Drosophila melanogaster: one gene and its partner. The gene in region 2 interacts genetically with the main gene of each other region. Each region holds a gene or a part of one and is shown on either strand. Other genes may lie near its edges.

Region 1 (4,653 bases), on a different chromosome or scaffold from region 2:
CACCCTGGGCTTGGAACACTTGTTCTCCTTTCTTGGAGTGCAGCTATTGGAGCCACCGGCACCGAAGAAAGTGTCTGCGCAGCCACTTATTTCAGAGTGCATTCTGTGCTCGCCCTCACTAGAACGCTGAAGACTGCTCACACTGTTGGGCTCTACATGAAAAGTGTCCAATGGTTCCTGCGGAAGTGCATTACGATTGCATACATGTGCATTTCGTTTGTATTCGACACCTAACTTACCGCAGAATACTGGCATCGATGACGGAATGACATTTCGTTCCATCGGGTTTCAGCAGCCCGTCTTATCTCGTTATTCGAGTAATATTCTCCGTAGCGCTTCTTAAAGTCCCTCAGAAAATTAACAAAGCCAGACGATGAGGCGTATTCGTCCTCTGCCCTATTGATATCTTCTTCAATGTCGGAGGCGTCGGAATTAACATATTCAATTGATTTTTTATAGGTTTTCACTGATTTTGTTACTGCCACCTCCGGCTTGCTATCCTTTTGTTTCAGATTACTCATTTTGCAACCAATTCTTGCTCGACAGAAATTTTCACAAACAAATTTGTTACTCAGAATTATACAAAAAAAAATTATATATGTATAAAAAACTGTACTCAATTTTATCGAAATATTTTAGTTGTTCCTCGTTCAAAGGTAGTGTACTAACTGTTTGTATGCTGGCTTCAGCGTGGAGACCTGGAAATTGGATTTGAATGAAGGCTCAATTCTACTATGATCAAGAAAAAGTTCCTTTTTTCAAACCAAGTTGGCTGTTTTCAAAGTACATTTCGCAGATCGGCGCCATATTTCCATGGTTATTTTTGTATACTATATTCGTTCAAGATATTGTAGGAGAAAATGTTTAATGTTTCTTGATCAGTATCAGTCGAGCTGGCCATATTCGTCCGTCCGTGTGTCTTGAAAAAGGTTTTAATATTCTGTTTGCAATCCGACTAGCTGAGTAACGCGTATCTGATATTCACGAAATAGAATAGCGTACTTCCTTGTTTTCAATGAAATGAAATGAACAAATATTTTACAAAAGCAATACTAAATGTTATATTATAATCTGAACAAAATATGTAAGAAATACCAGAAATGTCGTTGGTGAGGGAAGGTGTTTAAATTATCCTGTGCGACTACGTTCCTTTCCGGGGTTTCAACCACTTGGTAAGCAACAAGCGGCATTTTGCTGGTTAATGCTGCCGCTTAAACGAAAATCAATACAACTTGCGGTCTATTTTCGAGCGGATTGTTAAAAAAAAAACCCATCCATAGGTGGATTTCCCAGCACGGATGCTTTATTTTCGGCTTCCTGCTTCGGAGAACTGTATTCCCTCTGTTCATTGTGAAGCTTTAAAGTTTATTTTGTGAGACAGGCTGCAGCAAAAGCTTGCAATGCTGCAATGTAAATAGAGCAGCGCACCTGTGGAGGTCCTTTCCACATCGTCCTGTTCCCCCTCTCACTTGCCAAGCGACTTTCCTTACCCCTTTTTCTCCCAACTTTGATTTTGAGTACGCCTGTGTGTGTGCGCCGGACTCTCTGGGGCAAGTTGCCTGTTGAATGCCGGACCCGCTGTCAGTTGGATTAGCATCCTGACGCCGTGCAGAAGCATCCTGCTTCCACCTAGTTCACTCCGTTCGTTTGCTTTTTATTTGTTTGCCTCCGCGCGCCATGGGCAACCAGTTGAGTGTGAACAGCATCCAGGATGCGGTCATCGATCGCTTCCGCTCGGTGGCTTTGACCACCGATGCCAACGGCGCCATGCGCATCCGTTCGTTTTCGGAGGGCGTGGTGGCCACCACCCACCATCATCATCAGCATCAGCAGAATCAGCAGCAGAGTCCCCATTGCAGTGGACGCGGCGGACGCATCCTGCGCGAAAGTAGCATCGATGGCGGGGTGGCCATGTTCGATGCTCTGCTCCGCGATGATCACGAACATCGGCTGAGCTTGGATGCAGTGCATCGCATGCGGCATGTTCGCACCTCCTGCACCACAATTCCCGAGGAGGATGCCGTCAGCGATCGCAGCCTGCAGATTCATCTCTCCACTCTGGCCCGCGAACGTGAACAGGAACTTGAGCTTGAGCGCCAGCGGGAACGCGAAGTAAGTTGGAAAGTCGGAAAAGTTTCCAATTTCCGGAAAACAGTAGGAAATCACTAGGAATTTGTGCTGAAAAGCTTTTGGCGGAAAAAAGATTTAAAGTGTGGGAGTGTGCGCATACTAGAAAGCTTTGAATCGTTTGAAATTGGTGTCTTGTTGATTCGATTTGTGACTACAAATCACGATGTCGTTAGTTCTAACACAAATAAAAACATGCAAAAAAATGTTTACCTTATTCCGCGAGCACCTAATACCCTACTTAGAATATAAAAATTTAATAAAATATGAAAAAGTTTGCTATGTTTTACGTTAAGGCCTTTTAATTCTTTCAAAATATCTTTCGTATCTGAAGAAAAAGAACGAACAGGAAGAAAATGTTCACATTTTATTTAAACATTATAAATTTATTTTTTGCAAAAAGGTAAATGGAAAGGGGTTAATTTTTGGGATACAGTAGAATATAGTAACCTAAACTATATACTAATTTAAAGAAAGTGCATTTCATAATGCCCCACGAGCTGCTTTTTGCGACAAAATGTCGAGTTTGCACTTGAAACTCGAAGGGAATTCTAACGAAATCAAAGCGCTCCCTTCGCTTTCCCTTTAGCACTTCTGGCCCTTTTCTCCCGTAAAAGCTTTTCCCTTTGCCAGGACTTGCGTCACAAGTGCGAGTGTATGTGTGTGAGGTGGTGGGCGGGTGTGCGAAAAACTTTACTTTTTGGCCAGTCGTATTTGTATGTATATATTTGTGTATATATAGAAAGGTTGCCTTCGCTGGGCGTGTTGGTGAAGGTCATCCTGTCGTCGTCGAGATTGTGTTTGTGTCTGGCTGCTAGAGTTTGCTTTCGTCCTTTCGTTTGTCTCAGTCACTTTTTGGCCACCGTCAGTTGCCCATCGTTGTTCCCAATTTTAGTTTTTTCGCCAACTTAACTGCTCAATTTACTAGTTACCATTCACCTTTTGCGGTCGTTACTTTTCGACTTTCTTGCCTGATTGATGGCCACGCGAATTCCGCTGCTCCGATCATCGAATTGTCCGGTTTAACGGTCGTGTTAATGCCGCTTTTACGGCTGTCATCGCTCCGTCCGGCGCTGTTTACGCCGGCTTCTGATTAACAGCGGAATCGTGCCAAAAACTACGCCGGACACTTTGTCCCCAGTGTCCGCCATAAAGTACAGACAAACAACAATCAATTGTGTTGGCCAAACGAGGTTGGAAAAGTGCCAAAGCGGAAGTGACAGGAACTCGACCAGCGAAATGGTGGGTAAAATTCGAAGTGTTAAATACGGTTAACTTGGTAAATATTTCGGAAAGAATTGGTTTCAATAGCGTTTTTATAGTGAGGAAGAGAAAGGGTCCCATTGCATTAACGCTTAAGAATCCTTAATCTTTAACATTCAAGTATTCATTCTTCTTCCGTTCCTTCATATTTCTATATTATCCCATTGAAAGGTATACAATTCTCATTTTTAGATATTTATTAGAACTCAAAGTTGTTAATAGTAATATTACTTTCCGATTATCGAATTGCCATCAAGGTATAACTGGATACATTTTTCTTCCAAGCTATATAAATAGTCTCCTTGAGGAAAAACAAATTGACAACATTTTTTTTTAATGAAAATCAACAATTTTAAATGAAATCAACACTCGTATTCTATCCAATCTGTTTGTTTCCTTCCAGAACGCAAAGCATTTAACATACAATTCCAATGAAAAATTTCCCCGAAATATGGCCTCGAATTATGCTCTGTTTACTTGATTAAATTGTTATTTTACTACCTTTTATTTCCTTTTTATGCACTCGCATCGCATTAAAACGATTTCTGTGATATTTTTAAGTGGGTCCGATGAAAGCAATTTATGAGCTCAAAGAAGCTGGGGTCGGAAAAATCGAATTTTTGAAATTTGAAAGCTGGAATCGTTTGCCCATTTTTTGCCCATGTTTGCCCACCAATTAGTTTTTTTTGCCCACGTCCAGTTTTTGAGATATGAATTTTCGAAAAAGTTCGAAAATTTTCGAAAATCAAAAATTTCGCTTTTTTCAAAATTTTTTTTTTTAAATCGCAATAACATCGTTTGCCCACGTTTGCCCACCCTTTAGAATTTTGAAAAAATTTATACTTTAGAAAATATAAGGCTTTTAAGTTTACCTCGGTCTAATCAGAGAGTAAATCGTTTGCCCATCTCTTAAAACCAAATATTATCAACAAAAAAGGTTTGCCCAACCATTATTATTAGTTTTTATCGTTTGCCCACCCTTTAAAAAACCTTTAACAAAAATTTTTTTTCGATTGCCCACATTTAAAATACACCCAATTTCGTTAGCCCACCTCTTTAAAATAAAAATTTCCAATAAAAAACGTTTGCCCACCATTTAAAAATAAATAATTTCGATTGCCCTGCGCTCTTTAAAACTAAATAATTTCGTTTGCCCATCCTTTAAAATTCATTTTTAACGTTTGCCCACCCTTTAAAAATAAATTATTTCGTTTGCCCACCCTTTAAAATTTGTTTTTTTCGTTTGCCCACTCTTAAAACTAA
Region 2 (7,441 bases):
TTTCAAGTTTTTGCCTCCGCAGAGTGCAGTGCACTCCGCTTGCCGCATTCGAAACGGTAAAGTGGGGGGCCTTCGATTTTTTTTATTTTGTACGTAAAGTGTTGCACTTCTTGCGGGGAACCAGTGCTTGCAAAACTATGGGGGATTTATGAAAGCATTGATCTTGATGGGCAGTAAAAACTATTAAAATGAACCAAGATTAAAGGGAATTAGTGGAGCTGATAATTCCCTTTAATTTTTGCCGGCCACTGATATATCCATTCCGAATCACTACCCCCTTATTAATTTTTTCGATGGTTTCTTTTTTGTTTTCGTTTCGATGCAATGTTTTTTGGGTCCAAGTCCACTGGCGCTTATTTGATCAAGACTATTATACAATCTTACACGTATGTACAGCTGTGTATGTATGGGTGTCCACAGTGAAGGTACTAGAAATAGTGCTCCGTTGCGAAGAATGATCAGCATAGTGCATTATGCTTTTGGACAATTTGGGTTATAAAAAATAGTTTAAGATACCTTTAATGGTGGTAAAATGCCAAGTGCTTGAAATTAATTGGTATGTAACTGAAAACGATCTTTTAATGTTATTAGTTTTAAAGTGTTGTAATGATCCTATAATATTTACCGCACACGTGTGGGTGTAAGCATGCGTTTTGCTGTGGAGCAATGAAGTAGAACAGCAACGGAAAAACAGAAACTATTAGTGCGTAGGTATTTGTGTTACTTCATTTGTATGTGTGTGCGTAGAGGGCACTTTTCGGGGAAGTGCGTAGCGAGGGGGGAAGGGTGTCTTGGGGCATATTGTATTGGACCGACAGTTTGTCACACGCAGCGACCTAAATACGCACATTTTATGATATTTTCATTTTGAGTTTTGGCTTTTGTTTTTGGATTCCTTCGTTTACGTTATCAATTGGAAAACTGTAGTCCGTGTATGTATATGTGTGTGTAATCCCATGTTTATGTAATGCATTTTCTTTGGGCTTTATTTTGAAAACGAATACAGTTCTCCATTTAAGCGAGGTTTGACAATCACTGGGTTTTGTGTTTGTTTTTGCTTCTTCTTGTGCTCCTGCTTCCTCTCCATTTTCTTCTTCAACCGGCTTACATGGTCTTGCCTTTGTGTTTGTACTTACATATATACAGCCAAGGGCGCAAAAATATGAACTAAAAAACTTAAATACTAATTCCTCCGCATCTCTTAAAGCTGGTTTTAACATTTGGGAACGCTCATATTCAAAAATATTCTTGCGACACATATGCATGTGTATATTAATGCAGCTCAAAGTTTGATTTCGTGAACATTTGAAAATGTAACTACTAATATTTTGGCTTCAATAGTGTGTACTGCCTGCTTGTGGTAACCATTCCAAGTAGCAGCTGTTCTCCCTGCTCCCTTCTTATGCTGTCCTCTCCCTCTTCATCACACAAAACCACACACACACACGCGCACTCCCGCTCACACACACTCAGAAAGACCGCTCTGCTTTTACAGGCGTCGACGTCGACTTCTTTTCTTTGCGCAGCGATGGTTTTCAAAACGAATTCGAACGCTTAAGCGAACGGTTGTGTTTACTCCCAAGCAAAGATATCCAAAAAAAAAAAAAACTGAAACCACAGAGAAATCAAAATAGAAATTAGCGGACTCAAAAACAAAGTGTAACAAAACAAAGCAGAAAAATAAAGGCAAACATTTTTTTGTGGTGCATCTTCGAAAAAACCGGTTGTTAAATGCGCGTTGCAATCGAAATAATAACAAGAGTTCAACAACAAAATCCCTAAAAAAAAGCAACGTTGCACATTTTCTCGAGTGCAGTTCAAACTGTAAGGAAAACGTAGCGAAAATTGAGGAAAAATTTAAGAAAACCGAGGTTAAAACTTGAGCGAAAAACAAAATGGCATTCTCCATCGTGAGCCGTGGTATTTTGCGCACTTCAAGAGAAATTCTGGAACGCAACATGGCCGCAACTGTCGGCGTTCTGCAGCAGAATGCCTCCCCGCCCCCAAACACGCCCATTTCGCACAGCGATTGTCACGTAAGTGCATCTTTTCTTTCAGTGCATTGTAGTTAAGGTTACTAATTGAATTGACAGAAACAAGCAGTTAGAAAAACTTAGCATCACAAAGCGGACAGGAAAGAGCAGTTCCTAAAACAAACTTAAAAGCAACAGTTATAAAATAAAGAGTTTAAAACCAGTTCCACAAAAGATGTTCCAACCAAAAAGCAGTTCCGCATGATATAAACTCAAAACAAAGCAGAAAAATAGAATCGCAATTCGAAAAACAGTAAGTGGTGGAAGGAGAACTGTAAATAGTGAGGAAGAGGGGTGAATACAGACAAGCAAGGGAAGTGGAGAATGAAAATTGGGAGCGGGAATGTTCACGAAACGAGGCCAGTGCTAAGTAAACTGTAGCAGTGCATTCGAAACTGTAAGAACTCGAGTTCAATTCTTGATTAATATTAATAGATATTCCCAACTATAATTCTAGCAATACAAGAGAGTTTGGGATTATTAATTCTCTAATTTTTATTAACTTTTCATTCCCGCATTATTAATTTATTGTTGTTAGCAGCAGCATTATATATTGCTGATTTTTGGTTTCAATTGATGATTAACTATAAAATACGTTTAGGTGCTGGCAAATTTCTTGCACATCAATCATTAAAGGGCGCAGCACTTCAATCAATCAATAAGAAATTGAAAACCCGGCGCCGAAAGAGGCATATCCCTCAATGAAACAAATAAAACAAGATACAGTAAGATAAACAAGTGGAAATTACACACAAAGAAATGTTGGTATTGAATCAATAGATTCAACAAAATAGTTCAGTTAATATATAAACATGTTTCATCTTACTCCTATGTTGTTAGCTTTAAAAATACCGTCCAATAGTATTTGCATAAAAGTTTCGGTTTTGAAACGAAATTTATGATATTATGTTGACACAACATACATTAATTTAACCAGCTAAGCCAATATTAATACTTACTGGTATTTTTCACCGTGTATTCAGGTGAAAGCTTGTTTTCCCTTCTCACCGACAACAACCCCCTCATTTTGAAAGTCGGAAAACTGCGCAAATTCTGTAGCAGGAAAATCTTGCGCAAAAGCATTGGAAATTATAACAACAAAAGTACCCCACCTCCCTTTACTTTTTCTCTAACCGCCACGGAAAAAGAAGTTTTAGAATCACAGGAAATGATTAAAGTGATTTTATTCGCAATTTTTCTACTTCTTGTTTGCTGCTAAATTAACATTGACCTGTTGCTCGACTTTGATTTTTATTTGCCGTCTTCTTACTCTCTGCATCTTCCACATATAAATCATTGGCATTGTTTTTTGTTTAATTTTCTTATGGTCGAAACGTGTTTCTCTTTATTTTCGAGACGCGCAGACATTCAAATGAAAGGAGGCCCGTTTTTTGCATTCATTAATTCGTATTTTGGAGAAACTTGTTTACGAAAAAAAAAACACCGAAAAACAGAAACAATCCAAAGTTCGTTTAACCAAACGAAGCAACTGGAACCGAAAAAAGGTCCCAAAGCAGTCAGTCCAATACAATAAGTGTGCGGGCTTTATGATAATGTTATATGGTATGATGCATGATATCATCGTCGTCGGTGGCTGGCAACATCTGTACTTGGATTCTTTCTTATCGAGAGCCATTGAAATTCAAAACGTTTACAAGAGAATTCGGTTTCTTGTAATTAAAAGAGTAGCGAATTTTGTTTTTTATCTTTTCCTAATGGCACAGGTGATGGAAAAAACCTTTCTCCGAACTGGTTATTGGCATCAATATTTATCTTTTTTAATTTTCAAAGTTGCAATGTTGGCAGCAAAGGACATTGAATGTATTATATATGTGTAAAATACCGTGTCCTATATTTACATATATTTTATATATATTGGAAGCTATTTTCCTGCTGGTTTACAATTTCTTCTTTTAAATTCGTTACATACATGATCGCCACGTGGTTTTTTACCATTACCAAGCGCCTCTCAAACTGTAGACCGAGTTTTTTGAGATACATTTTGACAGTCACTCTTTGGCACTTTTAAGGCGAACCAAAGATGGAAAACTCGTAAAAAAAAACAGATAACGACGAATCAGGTTTAGAATTGTTTTGTGAGTAAACAGAACTGACCTTAACAATGAGAAAATAACACGCACAACAAAAACAACACAGGAAAACAGCAGTGCGCTGAGTTGTAATTAAAAACATAATGATTGCTTACACACCGAAGGGCGTCTAGCAACCATATCAACAACAAAAAGAGCATTCAGCATGGGGCTGTGAAAACCGAAATATACACAAAAACAATACAAAACAATAGCATAATGATTGCGTAACATTATTAATGACACGTTAGCATCTCTTTTTTTAAAGCACAATCAAAATGATTATTATGATAGAGAAACTTATCCAATACATTTTGCATTTTCACATTTTTCTAATTTCCTTTTTTTTTCTGATTTCAGCGCCTGGCATCTGGCGGCATTATCTGTGGACATGGAGCACATTCACTGCTTTGGCATCAAATGCCAACTGCCGTGGTCCAGGCTGTCCGTCAATATTCAAAGAAGGCCGGAGCGGCCAAATTGCGACGGGAGGTGGAAAGTGATAGCGATTCCGACTCGGATGATGAGTTCGAGCGTCGTCGCCAGAAAATGGATTCCAAGCGCAGCGAACGGGTGAGTGAACTGCTTGAGAAATGCATAATCCATTAAATAGATCCATAAAACACACGGTCCACGTGGCTGAGAAATTTCAATTGTGTTTGCTCGACAGGCCGAGAAACGTGTTTCGAAATTTGTTTATCGTGCTCAATGTCGTTTTTTGAACCTGCTCTACGGCATTTAAAAAATAGTCCAACATTGTAACCTGGTTAACAGTGGCCATTTAACAGTAGTAACTGGTTTGAGTGCAGACTGTTTTAAGATCAAAGCTTTGTTGTTTGGTTATTAATACGAAATCTTAGCTTTCTCAAAAAAAGCGAATTGAAGCTTAAAGCAGTTGCTTGTATCCTGACTATACTTGCCATCAAGCAGTTCCTTAAAGTCCTTTCAAAGCCTTTTGGTTAAAGCTTCTAAAAGCTCACAAGCAGTCGCTGCGCGTCTATGAGATAAGCTGATGTTAATAAAAGCATTTTAATAAGGACAGTCAAGTCCTGCAAAGCTTTCAAGCTTTTACTTTTCAAGTCCTTTTAAAGTTTGAAAAGAGCAAAAGGCTTGGTTGCAGAATTGCAATGAGCTTTAGAGTTTAAGAAGCTTTTAGCACGCCCTGTGAATGTTTTAAATCAAATATAATTAAAATTTAAAATAAAATCGCAAGGCAAACCAATTAATATGTATATTTTTCCTCATTTTTAGGGCGACTCAGCATTCTGGCGCCGCAAAATGCGTACTCTCCACCGCATTTTGGACGTTAATCACGACGGCGTCGTGTCCTTCGACGACTTTAGTTTGCTGGCCAAACGCTTTAGCGATCTGGGCCATTTGACCCCAGAGGTCGCTGCCGAATTCAACGATGTGATCAAGCATACTTGGGAAGAGCAGTTCGGGGAGATAACCCCATACAATCTGGTAACTGCCGAGCAGTTCCTCACCGATCTGCACCATCGTCTCAACGACAAGAAGATGGCCAAACGCATCGGTCGCTTCCTGCCCTACTTGTTTAAGGTTAGTTTCATTGTTAAGTTGCTATTATCGATAAACAGAAAAATAATTTTTCCGGTTTTTTTTTTCTTAGGCTGTGGACTTTGATCACACTGGCCATTTGGATCTCGAACAATACAAGCTCTTCTTCCGTTGTCTGGGACTGACCGAAGACGATGCTGCCGTTTCATTCGCTGTGATAGACAAGAACGGCGATGGCCAATTGTCGCTCAAGGAGTTTGTGCATTTGGGCCGTCAGTTCTTTTTAACCGAGGACGACTCGAAGATATCGAAAATGTTCTGGGGACCGCTGGTCGCTGATCATTGACGGGTTGCAGTCACTGCTGTAGATTACAATACAACCAAATCAACAATAACCCAACAAAAAAATCCTTACTACAATCAAGATTATCAGAACCATCAACACAACAACGTCCGATGCCATAACATCGGCAACAATAACACCAATGAGCCAATGCTACATTATACATTGAATACGACAACGATGTTGGCCAATAACAATTACAATAAGATAGTGGCCACTTCGTTGCCAACTCGCGTGCAGGCGGCAGGCGGCAGTTGGCTAAATCTACAGCATGTGGCGCCTCATAAATCGGGACCGTTAATAAACATTAGCAACACCACCACGATCGTTATAAGGAACATGAGCATTTACGATTATTTTCGGCAACACTTGTCCAGTTCGAAGCGCCAGCGCTCGACCTTTGAGCCCCATCCATCGCCCACTACGTATCCCGCCTCCAAGTTGCGCAAGCACAACTTTAGTAATTATCAAAAGGAACGGGAACGGGAAAGGGAAGACCGACAGAAAGATAATAATAATAATAATCATCGAACCAAGGGCAAACCATCATTAGATGACTACGATATAAGATTTTTTGTCTACCTTAACTCGCTAATAATATTCACAATGTCGTGCAGTCGTCAATCGGCCGCCGAGGGCGATGACCTCAAGCATTTCATTTGCGACCGGATCCGGAAATTCGATCGCCTACGACGAAAGGCAAGAAAACGCCGCAAGAGAAGGCCCAAAAAGCTGGTCGAGGATCAAATGCACCATTTATAAACTCTGAAAAGTGGAGCTACATACTATTCACGGTCACCCTATTTACCATATAATCGATTATTTTTTTTTTGTCTAGTTAAGAGTTATGTTTAACTGATATATTACACAATACAGCAAGCATGATATAACGGAATAAAAATGATTTTTAAATATACTATAAATAATACGAGCATATATTTTCAATTATTGGGTGATCAAGCGATCAAAAATGGTTTTCCTAAATCTTTGCGACTCTGTCCACTTATAGATTTTAGTTTATTATGTTTAAACTATTTCCCTAATTGCATATAGTGATTTGCTTATGATTATCCTGCTGCAGGTTTATATTTAATTCATATTCTCAATATTCAATGGAGAAAGGCAAACAGCAGACGCTACTTCCTTCTCATTTTATTTTTAAATGCATTTTTTTTAAATGTTCCCTCCCTTGGCATCTGCGGCCACATATCATTATGTAAGCGCCAGCGAAAAGGATTTGCGATATCAACTGAAAAGTGTTTAGCTGGATGTTGCGAGTCTACAAAAAATGTTACCTAAAATAGAAGACGGGTTGAGCTACTTTTCCAATACTCTACTCTACATTTTTAAAAGACTATACACTTTAATGAAATGCTAGGAATAAATATATATCTCCATCATATAAGTGGTGTGTCATATTTTGTTGTAACATATAGTATCAAAATCTAAGACATACC

Evidence for each region.
Region 1: of CBP (region 2) and Pka-R1, changing one enhances a phenotype caused by changing the other (phenotypic enhancement), as found in Drosophila melanogaster (one study listed by BioGRID).

Annotation. Positions count from the first base shown.
Region 1 is NT_037436.4:20,817,358-20,822,010, forward strand, and holds the start of Pka-R1 (protein kinase, cAMP-dependent, regulatory subunit type 1), read left to right. Parts: upstream 1-1,607; 5' UTR 1,608-1,677; coding exon 1,678-2,112; intron 2,113-2,973; exon of another isoform or gene 2,974-3,366; coding exon of another isoform or gene 3,367-3,369; intron 3,370-4,653. Other genes in the region: Mst77F (Male-specific transcript 77F), read right to left, coding at 1-177, 240-521.
Region 2 is NC_004354.4:7,335,821-7,343,261, forward strand, and holds CBP (sarcoplasmic calcium-binding protein), read left to right. Parts: upstream 1-1,531; 5' UTR 1,532-1,895; coding exon 1,896-2,036; exon of another isoform or gene 2,037-2,430; intron 2,431-4,483; coding exon 4,484-4,696; intron 4,697-5,374; coding exon 5,375-5,683; intron 5,684-5,753; coding exon 5,754-5,987; coding exon of another isoform or gene 5,988-6,746; 3' UTR 6,747-6,911; downstream 6,912-7,441.